Linked DNA regions of Coturnix japonica. The protein of the gene in region 1 interacts with the protein of each later gene in a biochemical or structural test. Links are inferred from orthologs where the notes say so. Each region holds a gene or a part of one and is shown in the gene's direction. Other genes may lie near its edges.

Region 1 (7,725 bases):
TGTTGTATTTGTACACAAAGACCATGGGAAAAAAGAGAAAGGAAGAGGCCAGATTAGCAGCTTATTTTTTTGGCATAAAACAAACTGAGAAAATGACAATTGCAGGATTATGTGTGGAACTGGATGAAGAACAATGTTTAATTTATACTTAATCCTGCATGCTGGCCCATGGAGAGTTATTTAGAGACAGATACCAACACTAAACAGATTCTAGAGTCTTTTATACAAAGTCTTTCTGATGAGTATGAACAGACAACCACCTGAATGTAAAAACAAGAGAAAATTGATTCTTTGGGAGAGAATGGTTGTGAGGGAAAAGACTTGGTCAAGGATAGTGACTACTGCACTGACTATATATAAATGATCTCCATGATCACAACAGTAATTGCCTGAACTTGAAATGAGATCAGATTTAAATATTTAAGTGCTCAAAGCCCCAGAACTCATGGAATTTTAATGCGAAATTTTCCACTCACACATTCACGGCATACTCAAGTAGGTGGAAGTGTTTTATGTGCCAGCAGCATATACATTTCAGTACTTTTTGGTGGCCAGATAGGCTAAGTTGTTGTTTGAATTTGTACAAACACAAAGAATAATAATTTATTTATTATAGTCCTTTATATATAATCCCCCCTCCCCCCTGCCCCTCTTTTTTTTTTTTTCCTGGATAGTAACATTGTACCTAAACTTCTCAAGTTCTCTGCTGTAGAACTAGTGACCTACCTTGCGAACTTTCTTTGCAACAGGCATCACCTTTATTACATCCAAAACCAGTATTAATTCTTTGTATTTCTTGTGTTGTAGGATAGTATCTGAAGTTTATGATAGCCTGTTCTGTATTGATACATACCTTCACATCTGTGTCAGTCTCGATAGAAAACAATACTGTTTTGATAACCTACTTGCTTGGATCTCCCTTCTAATGAGTTTCTTACCATTTCTCCTCTGTTTCTACAGACAGACACTGAAATAGTAAATCTCATCTCTATGTTTCAGCAACATGGACATGGGATTCAAATATTCTCAGACGTTGAATGAGAATGTGACTATGCTAAATCACTCTACCTTTCTTTTTGTTTTCCAGTGGGCCAATGCAGCCTAATTCTGACTCATCTTTTCTTCCTGTGTCTTTATTGGTATATTATGTACTTGGTGACTCCAGTGAAATCTTTCTTCTGAGTTTCAAAAGCAACTGTTGTACAATCACTTGACATTTCAAAATGTTGTGAAGAGGAGATGATGGAAGGTTGATGTTGGAGTATAGTTGGAAATGCAACACAGGACAATGGAAAATTACATAGGAAGAATTCTTAAAATTGGCATTTTGAAAGACTAGTTAAAATAATATCCTTTACTGCATGGCTCCTCATTATATTGAAAGGGGAGGCTAGTATCAAATCTTTATTGAAGTTTCATTTCTCCTAAGCACCGGAGCTTGTGTTAATATATCACCATAATTAGTTTATTTTTTTTCTTCAGACACTGCAGTTTTCTTATGGTATTAAAAATCTCATTACCTACAATGCATGCAAGAAATACTTGCTCAACTTTATTTTTTAAAATTGAAGAAGCAGTTTTTGCATATTACCTCTGTTATCCATCATTAAAAAAAATCTTAAATATTGGTATACTTTCAGGCATGACAGAGTAAAGTTCCTTTGTGCTATTTTAGAATTGTATGGTTTTGCTTTTGTAAAACGGGAGCCGGAGGTATATATCCATCTTCTACCATAGAAATGTTTAGACATACATACATCTTTCCTCATTTAAAGAAGTACTTCTATGACACATTCTACCTTCTAGCCAGGGAAGGCTAATGATTTATCTTTACATTTACTCCCTAGCGATAGCTGGAGATGAAAACAGAGATAATATGTAGAGAAAGGGAAGAGCCAGAAGAGGGAAACAGAACAATGTTTCCTAGAGGCAACTTCTCTCTGCTCTTGCCAGACTCTGCTGAACTGAGTCCACCAAAGTGAGGCAGGGTTAGAAGTCCCCATGCTGTCGGCCACATGAAGAGTGATAGAGGAAGAGATGCTGAGCAGCTGCTTCCCTGGTGTTCCTTGCTGTTGACACACTTCTGGCTTGTATATCTTGGCCGCAGGTGCAGAAAAATACATTGTCTAGTGAGATGCTGCTCTCATTCATCAGTCTTTCTATGTATTGTTGTCTCTGCTCTCCCGTTGTAACTATGCTTTTAAGGGTTATGTACACAAGTCCTATCTAACAGGAGTTACAGATACCAGCCCAGGAACCAGTAGCTAGACAATATATCTTTTTGAGTCCTGGTTTCCATTATGTCTTGGTAGGCAAGTAAGTCTTGCCCTCTCAGCAGCAAACTATTCTTTCAGTGCAAGGATGTTGCTGGTGAATAATGTTTCCAAACTATAAAGATGAGGTTTCCTCTGCCTCAAGTTATTTTGTTTATCACAGCTCTGTGAAGTAATCTATCTGGGAGAGGGCCCACAGACAATTGGCTGAGGCTTTTTTCCTGATACAAATCTTCGTAAGCATTGAACCAAATACAAATATGAAAGTAAAACTGTGCTTCATCCTGATGCTGGGATGTTGAGTACAGATAGCTGTGCTTTCACAGGCACGCTGTATTCTTGTGTCTCTTTGGAGTGTCTCATTTGGAAAATGGCTAATGCATGAAAGATGAAAAATGTTTGTGAAGAATACAGACTCCTGCACCAGATACAGACGCTTTCATAGCCTGTCTCTTAGATGACTGGAAATAGTCATTCAAACCACATGACTGCAAAAATTACACTCAAGTGTAACAAGTGACTCTCACATAGCTTTTGTGACTTTAAAATCCACCTCTACTTTAGGCTTCTTTTCATATATTTGGTTTTCTGTCTTTAATTGCACTTCTTGAAACACTAAAACAACTTTTGTCTCTGTTTCTTTGTGTTTGTCTGACATTCTACTACTTCTTCTCAAGGGCATTCCCTGTCAGGCTGCACTCAAGCTGACTTTCAGCTCATGTCAGGTAAACACAGGGACAGACATTTAGATGGATTTTCCTAGATTTATTCATGACTTGTTGTCATTACCTGTGTCTCAGCCACATTTTGCATAAGCTACAACCTTGTCTCCTGTTGCTTTCCTTCATCTGTTCTAAGTAATGCCTTTTTGTTTGTTTGTTTGTTTCCTGTGCAGCATCCTAATTCCTGATGGTGACAAGACTTCAGGATTCAACTCTGTTATCTTCTCCTTCATGGAAATAAGATGATGAAGAAGAATATTACCTGCGATAAAATTATTTTCTTTAGGAAGATTTATTGGGCTAATTAAGTCCTTTCCCTGTTTTTGGTCATTGGATGGTCTCCATTCCTTAAAAGTCACAAGCAGCGTAGCCAGTAGAATGCAGCCTTACAACACTGTGTCTTGCATGTGGACAACTGAGGCACATAGAAGTTAACAATGCATGGGAGGTCTGAGAGAGAGACAGGAGGACATAAATATTTTCTTGCTTCCTAATCCCTTTTCTGTTTTGCCAGATACACGAGGCAGAGCAACTTTATGCCACAGAAGAGGCAAATCACAGTCTGAAATATAAAATCACATCAGTTCAGCTCAGGAAATTCTGTAAGACTGGTAGTACAGTGCTATAAGGTTGCTAATACAAAATCAGAATGAATATATTATTCTGAAAATTAAAGGAGGAAAATAGATCTCTTGTAGCCCCTCTGCTTGTCTGTTGCTACTGGAAGCTTGTGCAGCATCCAAGTCTGCAGCACTGTGTGATGTTTCAGAGAGGCTCAGAATCAGCAGCCCCTCGACTTTCTGCAGCTCTGAGTCCCATTGGCTGAAAGGCAAAGCAGAGGCGGAGAGTGCAGAGTATTTTTCTCCTCCACACACCATAAAGCAGGCAGCCAGCATGCACTGCCTGGCAGCGAGACTGGTGCTTAGAGTTTGAAATTAGTTTCTCCTCGGCAGCAGTCACTTGAGCATTTTACATTTACCTCTCCAAATGGAAGGGTTAAAAAACAGAGAGAGAGAGAGAGAGAGACCTGCAGCATAATAGTGAACTAAGCAAGAAGTGAACTTAGGGGAGAATCTGATACAAACTTCCATACTGTTGGGATTCAGTGATACAGACCACCGAGATGGATGTGATGGTGATCAGAATCTGCATCTGTGAGAGAGCAAACCAGCATCTCTGAGTTTGAAACCTCATTTTACAAAGTGCTCTGAACTACTATCTGCTTCAGTGCTGCCTTATTTTTCTTTTCTTCCCAAACTGAAAAGGAGGATTTCAGAGGAATGCAAGGACAGTTTTAAAACCAGGAAGCTGAAAGGGTTTCTCCATAAGATGAATTTCACCCAGCATCGTGGGACACTCCAGCCTCTCCACTTCTGGAACCACAGCAACGGGCTGCACAGGGGTGCCAGCGAGCCCAGTGCAAAGGGCCACTCTTCGGGAGGCTGCTATGAACAACTCTTTGTATCCCCTGAAGTGTTTGTGACTCTGGGCATCATCAGCTTGCTGGAGAACGTTTTGGTCATTGTGGCAATAGCCAAGAACAAGAACCTCCATTCGCCTATGTACTTCTTCATCTGTAGCTTGGCAGTGGCTGACATGCTAGTGAGTGTATCTAATGGATCAGAAACTATTGTCATCACGCTGCTAAACAATACAGATACAGATGCACAGAGCTTTACCATAAACATTGACAATGTCATTGACTCAGTGATTTGCAGTTCCCTGCTTGCATCAATTTGCAGTCTCCTCTCAATAGCAGTGGACAGGTATTTTACTATCTTTTATGCCCTCCAGTACCATAATATCATGACGGTCAAGCGCGTAGGGGTCATCATCACATGCATCTGGGCTGCTTGCACTGTCTCGGGCATTTTGTTCATCATTTACTCTGACAGCAGCGTTGTCATCATCTGCCTTATCAGTATGTTCTTCACCATGCTCATTCTCATGGCATCCCTTTATGTTCACATGTTCATGATGGCTCGAATGCATATCAAGAAGATAGCAGTTCTTCCAGGGACTGGCCCCATCCGCCAAGGGGCCAACATGAAAGGGGCCATCACTCTCACTATACTGATTGGAGTTTTTGTTGTGTGCTGGGCCCCATTTTTTCTGCACCTCATTTTCTACATCTCCTGCCCCTACAATCCTTACTGTGTGTGCTTCATGTCCCACTTTAACTTCTACCTCATCCTTATCATGTGTAATTCCATCATCGATCCACTTATCTATGCATTTCGGAGTCAGGAGCTCAGGAAAACATTCAAAGAAATTATATGCTGCTGTAGCTTGAGAGGGTTTTGTGATTTGCCTGGAAAATATTAGACTGACGAGGGTAGGTTACTGTGTATTCAGAATACAGCATGGTCTTCTGAGCCATTAGAATCTTTTTCTTCATCAGAACTTGGGTAACATGTTTAAGAGCAAACACTTCTTTTTCTCTCCCTTCCCTCCCATCTTTGTATCCCATTTATGTGTAATTCATATTTCTGTGTAGTGTTTGTGATGTCTACAGTTTGTGATTTACTTGGCTGGGAACAGAATAAAAGTAGCACTTTATAGCAGTTTGTGTTTAAATAAATGTAATGCTGATTGTGAAATACTAAGAAATACGAGCAGCTGTATGTTCCAACTGCTGACAAAATAAAGAATTTGTCTGAGTTACAGTGCATATTGGTTGACAATGTTCCTTATTCTGCTGATTATAGCTATTCATTATGTTACGTGCAACTTAAAATAGAGCTTATGCTTCTCAATTAGTGTATTAAAGGTTCACTAGAATCAGGAGGCAGATTTTTCATGAAGATTACTGGAATCAAGGAGTTGTGTTCATTTATTTTATGTGCTTTTCCTTCTACTCCAACAGCAGCAATCCTGTTCTTTGTTACAGCTATTGCCTACAACAACGGGATTTTTTCAAATACTTGCTAGCCAGGCAATTGAAAGCTTGTTTTATCTTGGTTTTCAATATGATGATTGCTGTGTGTCTGAAAGTGCCTTTTCACAAAATTGAAATTGAATTTGAAATTGAAATTGAACACTCCCTGGAGCATCAGTTAGCACTGGATATATTTAATAGACTGGAGTCCAGATAGGCTGTCACCCTCCGTTCACTCATGAAGAAGGTGCAGTACTAATACTGATAGTGCTGGCACCTGTGTAAAGCTTTGCAGTGAGATTCAGCTGATGATAATGAAGAAGGGATATCAGCCTTAGCATTCAGTCCTTATTCTGATGTTCTGTGGTGAACAGGGACTCTGTTCTTCGGAAGAAAATATAGCTTTCCTAGAAACAAGCTGCTCTCTTTTCTGAAGCATTATTAGATGGGATCCACTGCCTGGATTATTACAGAGGAATGAAAGCAGGTATCAACTTGGGGCCACCTCAGGCACCACTGTGGACCATGCAATCTTGTCTGGACAAGAAGGCTGGCAATCTGATAAGTGTCTAGATCTATGCTTTGTATCTGGCAGCCCTGTGTGTTAGTGCTGCTTGAGGACAGTTCACCTTTTCAGACATCTAATTTAGATGTTTAATAAGCAGGTCCCTGACTTAAGCACCTTGAAAATATTTAAAATGCAGATAGAGGTACACAAAAGCCCATGAAGACATCCTTTAACAACTTGACAACAACAGCTTCTATGTAAAAACATAGGAAAATCAACTTATTTATTCTTGGTAAGTATAAAAATAGAGCAGTAACTGGAAAAGACCTGGAAAGTTTCGACATGAAAAGTAAAACTTTAATGTAAAGAATAATTTACATTTAAGCCTGGATGTTTTATTCTACCAAGATAAACAGTGAATTAGTGAGATGAAAGTTGTGCTTCTTATTTCCTTCGGTTAGCCCAAGACATTAAAGGCAGATGTTATGGCAACAGAAGTTGAACTTTCCAACCAATATTCCATTGCATTTAGTTGATGCCTGACAGAATGGTGTCTGACACAGAAGTGCATATGAATCAAAGGGGTGAAACTGCATTTCTCCATGAGGAAAAAATTGCACCCGCTGACATTCATTGGTGCTTATTGAACATACATGGAGACCAAATGGTGAATTTGACAGTGAAGAGAAGGGTGGCACATTTCAGCAGTGGAATCAGCAGTATAAATGTGACATGAAAGACAAGCCATGTTTTAGATGGCCATGCACATATGTCACCACAAAATGAAGAGTGCCTCAACCAGCTCATCTACCCAGACTGGCTGATGGTGGTGACTGTGTTGAAAAATCACATTTTGTAGCTGAGAATTTGCTCTATCAAATAGTGTTACTGTGCTCTTTGTAACTATTGTAGATTCCATTTGGAGTGACCTACACACATTAAGACCACTTCTGTGTGTATGTGTGTGTGTGTGTGTGTGTGGAAACTATAAACTTTTCAGTAATACATCTCAACCTGGTTCTACCTGTTAGGGAATAAAAGATGCCAAAGTAGGAGGATTAATGCTCAGTGAGGGGGAACATGTGAATGTATTAAAATTAATAGGCAGTCCAGAAATCTTCTTGAATCCTCTTGGACTTTATTAAAAGCACTTCTTTCTCCCGGAAGACACGATGCTAGCTATGCAGAAATGCTCTGGCAACAACACAAGAAATTCTGCTGCCTATCTGAAAAATCTCTGTTGATCTTTGTTCTGCCTTATGCTCTGTAAATTATGATAGCAGGTGCCAGAGATTTGTTTTGTAGCCCATGGATGCATACACAGGCTAGCAGAAGGCGGAACAA
Region 2 (6,286 bases), on another chromosome or scaffold:
CACGATGGTGATGGCTTTGCAGCTGAACCAGCCCCAGCTCCAGGAATGCTCAGGCAGCACCTGTGTAGGCCTTGAGGGATCACACCTTGGCCATAAATCCCAGCAGGAAGTACAAGGGAATGTAACTGGGCTCTGCTCAACAGTGCTCGGGGCAGCCCAGGGGCACAGGGCACAGCCTGGAGCCCAAGAGCTGCCCATTAGTAGCATTGCAGTGCTGGGTGGGTGCTCAAGCCCTGGCACAGGGAGTGGAGAGGTGTGGGGGTCCTCCTTGGGGGTGCCCCACAGCCCCTGGCCGTGGTGCTGGGAACCCAACCATCCTGAGGCTCTGGGCTATGGGGAGCTCAGAGGATGGACTCAGACCAAGCTTTGGGGGCTGTATCAAGGCTGGTGAGCGTGGAGGCATTCTTCATCCCAACGCCTCACCTCAACAAAGTTTCCCTATTTCCTAAATAGATTTCTTCCTTATAAAAATAACTGGCTCAGAGAGGCCTAATGAAGATGAAAGAGCTTTTAAAGTGGGAATCATAGCTCCTTTTTGGCCATAAAGCATTCAGAATAGCTCTCCGTCATGAAAATATATTGCATAGCAGGGGATCTGCCGTGGAGGGTGGAGGCAGATAATACAGTTAAGGAATATGAATTGCTTGTGCCACAGAGGTCTCCTGGATCTGGGGGGGAACTGGAGGTCTGGGAAAGGCATGAAGCAAAGTGAAATGGAACCTGTGACGGAGCTTTGTGCACCATCCCAAAGCAGTGATGTCAACCTCATGCACCCCACATCCCACCGCAAGGAGGAGAGAATCCAAATCCCATTGCAAGAGGGGAGCACCCACATCCCATTGCAGGAAGGGAGCATTCTGCTCACCTGCACATTGCTTGGTCTCGGTGTCTGGAGGAGCCTATTGGCAGCTTCTATAGCAATATATTTTACAGCTCAGGTGAGCCCTAAAGAAAATGAGTCTTGCTAAGCCTTGGATTCCTTGCTATAGGAGAGGGATCTGCAGACAAAAGCAGTCCAGTGGAACAGAGAGAACAGAGGTTTGTGCACAAGGAGGGGGCTGTGTGTGCTGCCATCCCAAGTGGTTTCTTTAAAAACAACCCTTTATTCCACCAAAATCCAACCCCAAACCCCCAGCACCCATCGGAGCACGGAGCCCTCCCACACCCGATCATAAGGAACAGATGCCCCTGCACCAAACACCCAGCAAAGCACTTTCCGTCCGACCCCTCTGATCCCGAAAGCAATTAACAGCTTCGCATGGAAAACTTGGCCGGCTGCGGCTGGCGGGGAGATGCTAATCCCATCCACAGCCACATCAGCGCCGTGCTCACTGCTGCTCTGCTTTTGTTCGCTACCTGGAAGGGTCCCTCCGTCCCCACCTTCCCCTCCCTTTCCCACCCCCAACCAAGGGCCATCCAGAGGGCGGCTGCGGCGCGACGCTGGGGGTATATAAGGCAGCAGGGATGCAGGGACGTCGCAGACTTGCTCTCGGGGAGACGGGGACCGGTGGTGGCTGCGCTCCAGCCCAAGCCGCAGGTGAGACCTCAGGGATGCAGCATGGCCCAGAAGGGCTTCTCTAGGGATATGGGAGGGGGAAAACTTTGCAAAATCTTGGTTGCAGTGGGTTGTTTGCATGGTTAGAAGGATGGCAGCAAGGGGATAAAGCACCCTCTTCCCTGAAATGCTTCGTGCATCCCTGCCCCCCAGCCTCTGCCCCCCCTTCATTCTCTGCTTTTTTGGGTTACTGCATGCTGATGTGTTACAGAAGTGGCCCCACAGTTGCAGATCCAACACAGCTGTGTCAGAGCTGGGAGGTTCCAGGCAGCTGCTCCCACGATTTTGGGGCAAAAGACCCAAAAAGCACCTCCACGCCCAAACTCTGCCCACTCTCTATTAAGAGCAGGATGAGATTTTCATTAATTTGCCTATAGTTTTCTATTCTTTGGGATGGGGTTTTCCTCCCCTGGCACTCCCAGGTTGAACCACGTGAGTCCCCACAAAGTTAAAAACAACTTGGGAAAGAGTTGGGTTTGGCAAAAGCAAAGTTAAGTGGATACATCAGCCTGGCACTGCCACCATCACCACAACCCTCACCTCGTCTGGACTCACCCAAAGCAGTCCCTGCAGCACAGCCTGCATCCCTGGCACTTCCAGCGTCTCCCAGAGCGCTTCCCAAGCGATGATCTGATGTTATTTCATGTACCATTTCAGCTTGAGGGGGGTTTGCAGGGGCTGCAGCCTGCAGGCAGCTCCATCATGCTCTCCCCCTGCAGCATCACTCGCTTGCCTGTGGCTCTCAGGAGGGGCAGAAATCCTCATGGCAGCGGCTGTCACCTGCAAAGGCGGGTGTTAATGCAGGTGACAAAGGACCTGGGATTTCGGAGGCAAAGGATGGTGACAGCAAAGCCACAAAAGGCTGGAAGGAGGGGGATGAAATCCCAGCAGAAGCAGCAGCCCTGAATTTGGGCAAATAGTTGTTATTTTTTTTAACTATTTCTTTGTTTCCATAGCGCTCCTCTGCAGTTTGGGGACCCATCCTTGGCTGGTACCATGCGGGGTGTGCTGTGTTACAGCCTGCCTGTGGTGCTGGGGCTGCTGCTGTGCCACCCCACCATTGCCAGCGGCCCATGCTGGGAGAACAGCAAGTGCCAGGACCTGGCCACTGAGGCTGGAGTTTTGGTAAGTGGGAGCGTGGGGCTGCCCCGGGCTTGGTTTGCTTTCTAACCCAAACGGAGGAGGTGATGGGATGCCATCCCTGCTGGGTGACATAGTGTAAGGTTGGAGTGATGCTTTGGGCTCTGTGATCTGAGGGTTTTCGTGTGCTCACGCCTTTTGGCTTCATAGAGTCACAGAATCCTAAAGTGGTTTAGGTGGGAAGGGACCCCAAAGCCCCCCCAGCCTCAACCCCTGCCATAGGGACACCTCCCAGCACATAACTCCATCAAGGTATGGGGCACCCACAGCTTCTCTGTTCCACAGCTTCACAACCTTCATTGTAAAGAACATCTTCACGTTGGGTAAAATCAGTTTTTGGACGGATATCATCCCTCCTACGTGGGATGAATCAGGAAATCAGGGAGTGATGGTCATGGGATGGTGGTCATGGTTAATTCTCTGCAGGGGCTGAGTGTGCTCTGTGGATCCAACGCACTCAATGCTCCCCCCCAGCACCTTTTACATCCCCATAGAATGGGTTGGGTACTCCATGCTCCCCCTGGGGGACACATAGAGTGGCACTTGCATGGGGACGTCACCAAGGCACGCGGCCACAGGTTGGACGTTAGGAAAGATTTCTTGCCCTAAAGGTGATGCAGTGATGCACTGCCCAGGGGATGCTAGGGTCACCATCCCTAAAGGTGTTCCAGAACCATGACACAGCACTTGGGGACACCGTGACTGGGCATGGTGTGATGGGCTGGCAATCAGACTTGGTGATCTTAGAGGTCTTTTCTAAGCAGAATGATTTTACGGTTCCATTTCACCCCATGCAGGCGTGTGCCAAGGCGTGCCGAGCTGAGCTGTCGGCCGAGGCACCCGTGTACCCAGGCAATGGACACCTGCAGCCCCTCTCTGAGAGCATCCGTAAGTACGTGATGAGCCATTTCCGCTGGAATAAGTTTGGCCGTCGCAACAGCAGCAGCGGAGGGCACAAAAGGGAGGAGGTGGCCGGCCTTGCCCTGCCCGTCACATCACCCCACCACCCCGCTGGGGAGGAGGAAGATGGAGAAGGGTTGGAGCGAGAGGAAGGGAAGCGCTCCTACTCCATGGAGCATTTCCGCTGGGGTAAGCCGGTGGGACGGAAGAGGAGACCCATCAAGGTGTATCCCAATGGTGTGGATGAGGAGTCAGCTGAGAGCTACCCCATGGAGTTCCGGAGGGAGATGGCGGCCGACGGGGACCCCCTCGGCCTCTCAGAGGAGGAAGAAGAAGAGGAGGAGGAGGGTGAGGAGGAAAAGAAGGATGGTGGCTCGTACCGTATGCGGCACTTCCGCTGGCATGCGCCGCTGAAGGACAAGCGCTACGGCGGCTTCATGACCTTAGAGCACAGCCAGACCCCGCTGATGACTCTGTTCAAAAACGCCATCATCAAAAGCGCCTACAAGAAGGGTCAGTGAGGGGAGCCCAGCCCACGCGGCCCCACGCAGCTTTAGTGTCCTGCCGCCATGTGTGTCACTTAGATCCACAGATCGCTCGTTATGTTGTTAATTACTACTCCAAAACCCTCCTGCCCCCGACACCAAATGGCAACAGGTTGGGGCTGAACGTACCAATGTGAGCAGTGCTCACGCTGGGTCATTTTCCTATTTTCACCAAGCTGTACAATACTGTAAATGATGGATTAAAAGAATTCTAAAAGAGAAAAAAAAAATTAAATAAAAAGACATATATATATAATTTTTGCAAGCTATCTATGTGTCTGCAGTGTCTCTGTGGCTGTGTCTTGCCAAGGGGTAAAACAAACAGGGACATGTTTGGTGGGACAGATTGATAGTTGGACTTGATGATCTTACAGGTCTTTTCCAACCTTAATGATTGTCATAGAATCATATCATAGAATGGCTTGGGTTGGAAGGGACCTCGAGGATTGTGAAGCTCCAACCCTGACTCCGCCACCACAGGCAGGGCTGCCAACTTCCATATCTACTACTAGACCAGGCTGTGCAGGGCCCCATCCAACCTGGCCTTCAACACCTCCAGGGCTCTACCAGTGAAATCTGGAGTAACTCCAAGCCCAAATCCTGCAGCCGGGGACCAAAAGGCATCACTGGGGCTGTGCATGGGAGATGGGATATATTTCAGTAGAGGTTACTCCCAAGGGATTTGGGCTCCCCCATCCCTCAGCAGCTTCCCCAGTACTGATCTCTCTGATAAACTCATTAACTGCCTATCAAATGGCAACACAGAAGACCCTCAGGTACCAAAGAAAGTGACCTTACCTATAAAGTCATGTTGCTAAACCTGAGGGGTTTAGCATGGTAAAGAGGGGCAATGAAAGCGGGGAGCAGCTGTGGATCTGGGACCATCTTCAAGAGCAAATATCAACTGTGCCAGGAGTAACAAATCCCTACCACCTCCCCCAGCCTTACAGAGAAACCAGGTGCCACGAACGTGCCAACAGAGCTGATCCCATAATGTGGCAACACCAACATTTATTGGAGGGCACGTCTGCAAATATCGACGGCATCTCAGCCCCTTTCACAGCCCCACTCCCCTCCTGCCCTCAACTACACACAGAAACAACACGGTGCCCTGAAATACAGAGATGGAAACGCACACATGCACCTAACTGCTGAGTTTATAGAAATATACTTTGTCATCTATACAGACACCGGTATCTAAACTAAATGTGATGTACAAACAAATCACTTACACTGTGTGTGTGTATCTGCAGAGACATTTACAAGTGGAGTTTGGGTCCTGAAATGTAATGCTGAGCACAGCCAGCACTTGCTTTTGGAGGGGAATAGGGGATGTAACAAGGGAACAGCAGCACTGGGACCAGGGAGACCACACCGAAACCCCCAGCCAGGGGATAAGGTGCAGTCCTGCCCCAGGATCCCTGAGAAGCAATGGAACCCCAGGACGTGACCTGTGCCATCCCCATGGCAGCCAGGTTCCAAGGAGCAAGCCTTGTGCTCATCTTCCCACCTTCCTTGTGAGTTTGAAGTGGTTTGGAGGTGTCATCCCCTCCCCCCCATGCACACACAGTCTGGCGGTTAATTCCTTTTACTACTCCATTTTGCTAAACATTTACTGTTTTTCATTTGCACAGCTATGGGAGTGAATCCTCCTTTGTCAAGCAGCCTCCTTGCATTCCCAATGCCAACTTCACCCAGCCAAAACTCCAGGGGGACTAACGAAATAAAAAGGGACAGGCTGGGAACAAAAAGATGGGGGGGACCCCAAGGAGTGGCTGTGGCAAGGGACAGCCTCAGGCTCTGGGCAGGGCTGGCAAAGCCACACTGCAATCCCAGCCCTGGGACTGAAATAAACCCTTGTTTTTTCTGTCCTCTTAAGCTAGGTCATTTCCTAAACCCGGATTACATGACAGCCACACAAACAAGTGGTAGCCTCGGGGCAACTGCAAACTGCACCCACCACCAGAGTGAAAAAAAAAACAAACCGATGTCAACGTGGTATTACACCTTCAAGTAACTGTCTGAAGAGCTACAGTAAGAAGGGGCAGAGAAAGGAGTGGTCGCTGAAGCAATCCATTGGCCACAGGCAGCACCACTGCGACCACTGGGTTTACCTGCTGTCCCCCCACTGTGCACAGCACCATCT

The links.
Region 2: the proteins of MC4R (region 1) and POMC form a complex in vitro, tested with the Homo sapiens proteins (2 studies listed by BioGRID). The link is inferred for Coturnix japonica from reciprocal best matches to the Homo sapiens genes MC4R and POMC.

What each region holds. Positions count from the first base shown.
Region 1 is NC_029517.1:60,659,898-60,667,622, forward strand, and holds MC4R (melanocortin receptor 4), read left to right. Parts: upstream 1-3,644; 5' UTR 3,645-4,324; coding exon 4,325-5,320; 3' UTR 5,321-5,666; downstream 5,667-7,725.
Region 2 is NC_029518.1:96,193,614-96,199,899, forward strand, and holds POMC (pro-opiomelanocortin), read left to right. Parts: upstream 1-1,448; 5' UTR 1,449-1,537; intron 1,538-2,124; exon of another isoform or gene 2,125-2,511; 5' UTR 2,512-2,551; coding exon 2,552-2,680; intron 2,681-3,492; coding exon 3,493-4,116; 3' UTR 4,117-4,357; downstream 4,358-6,286.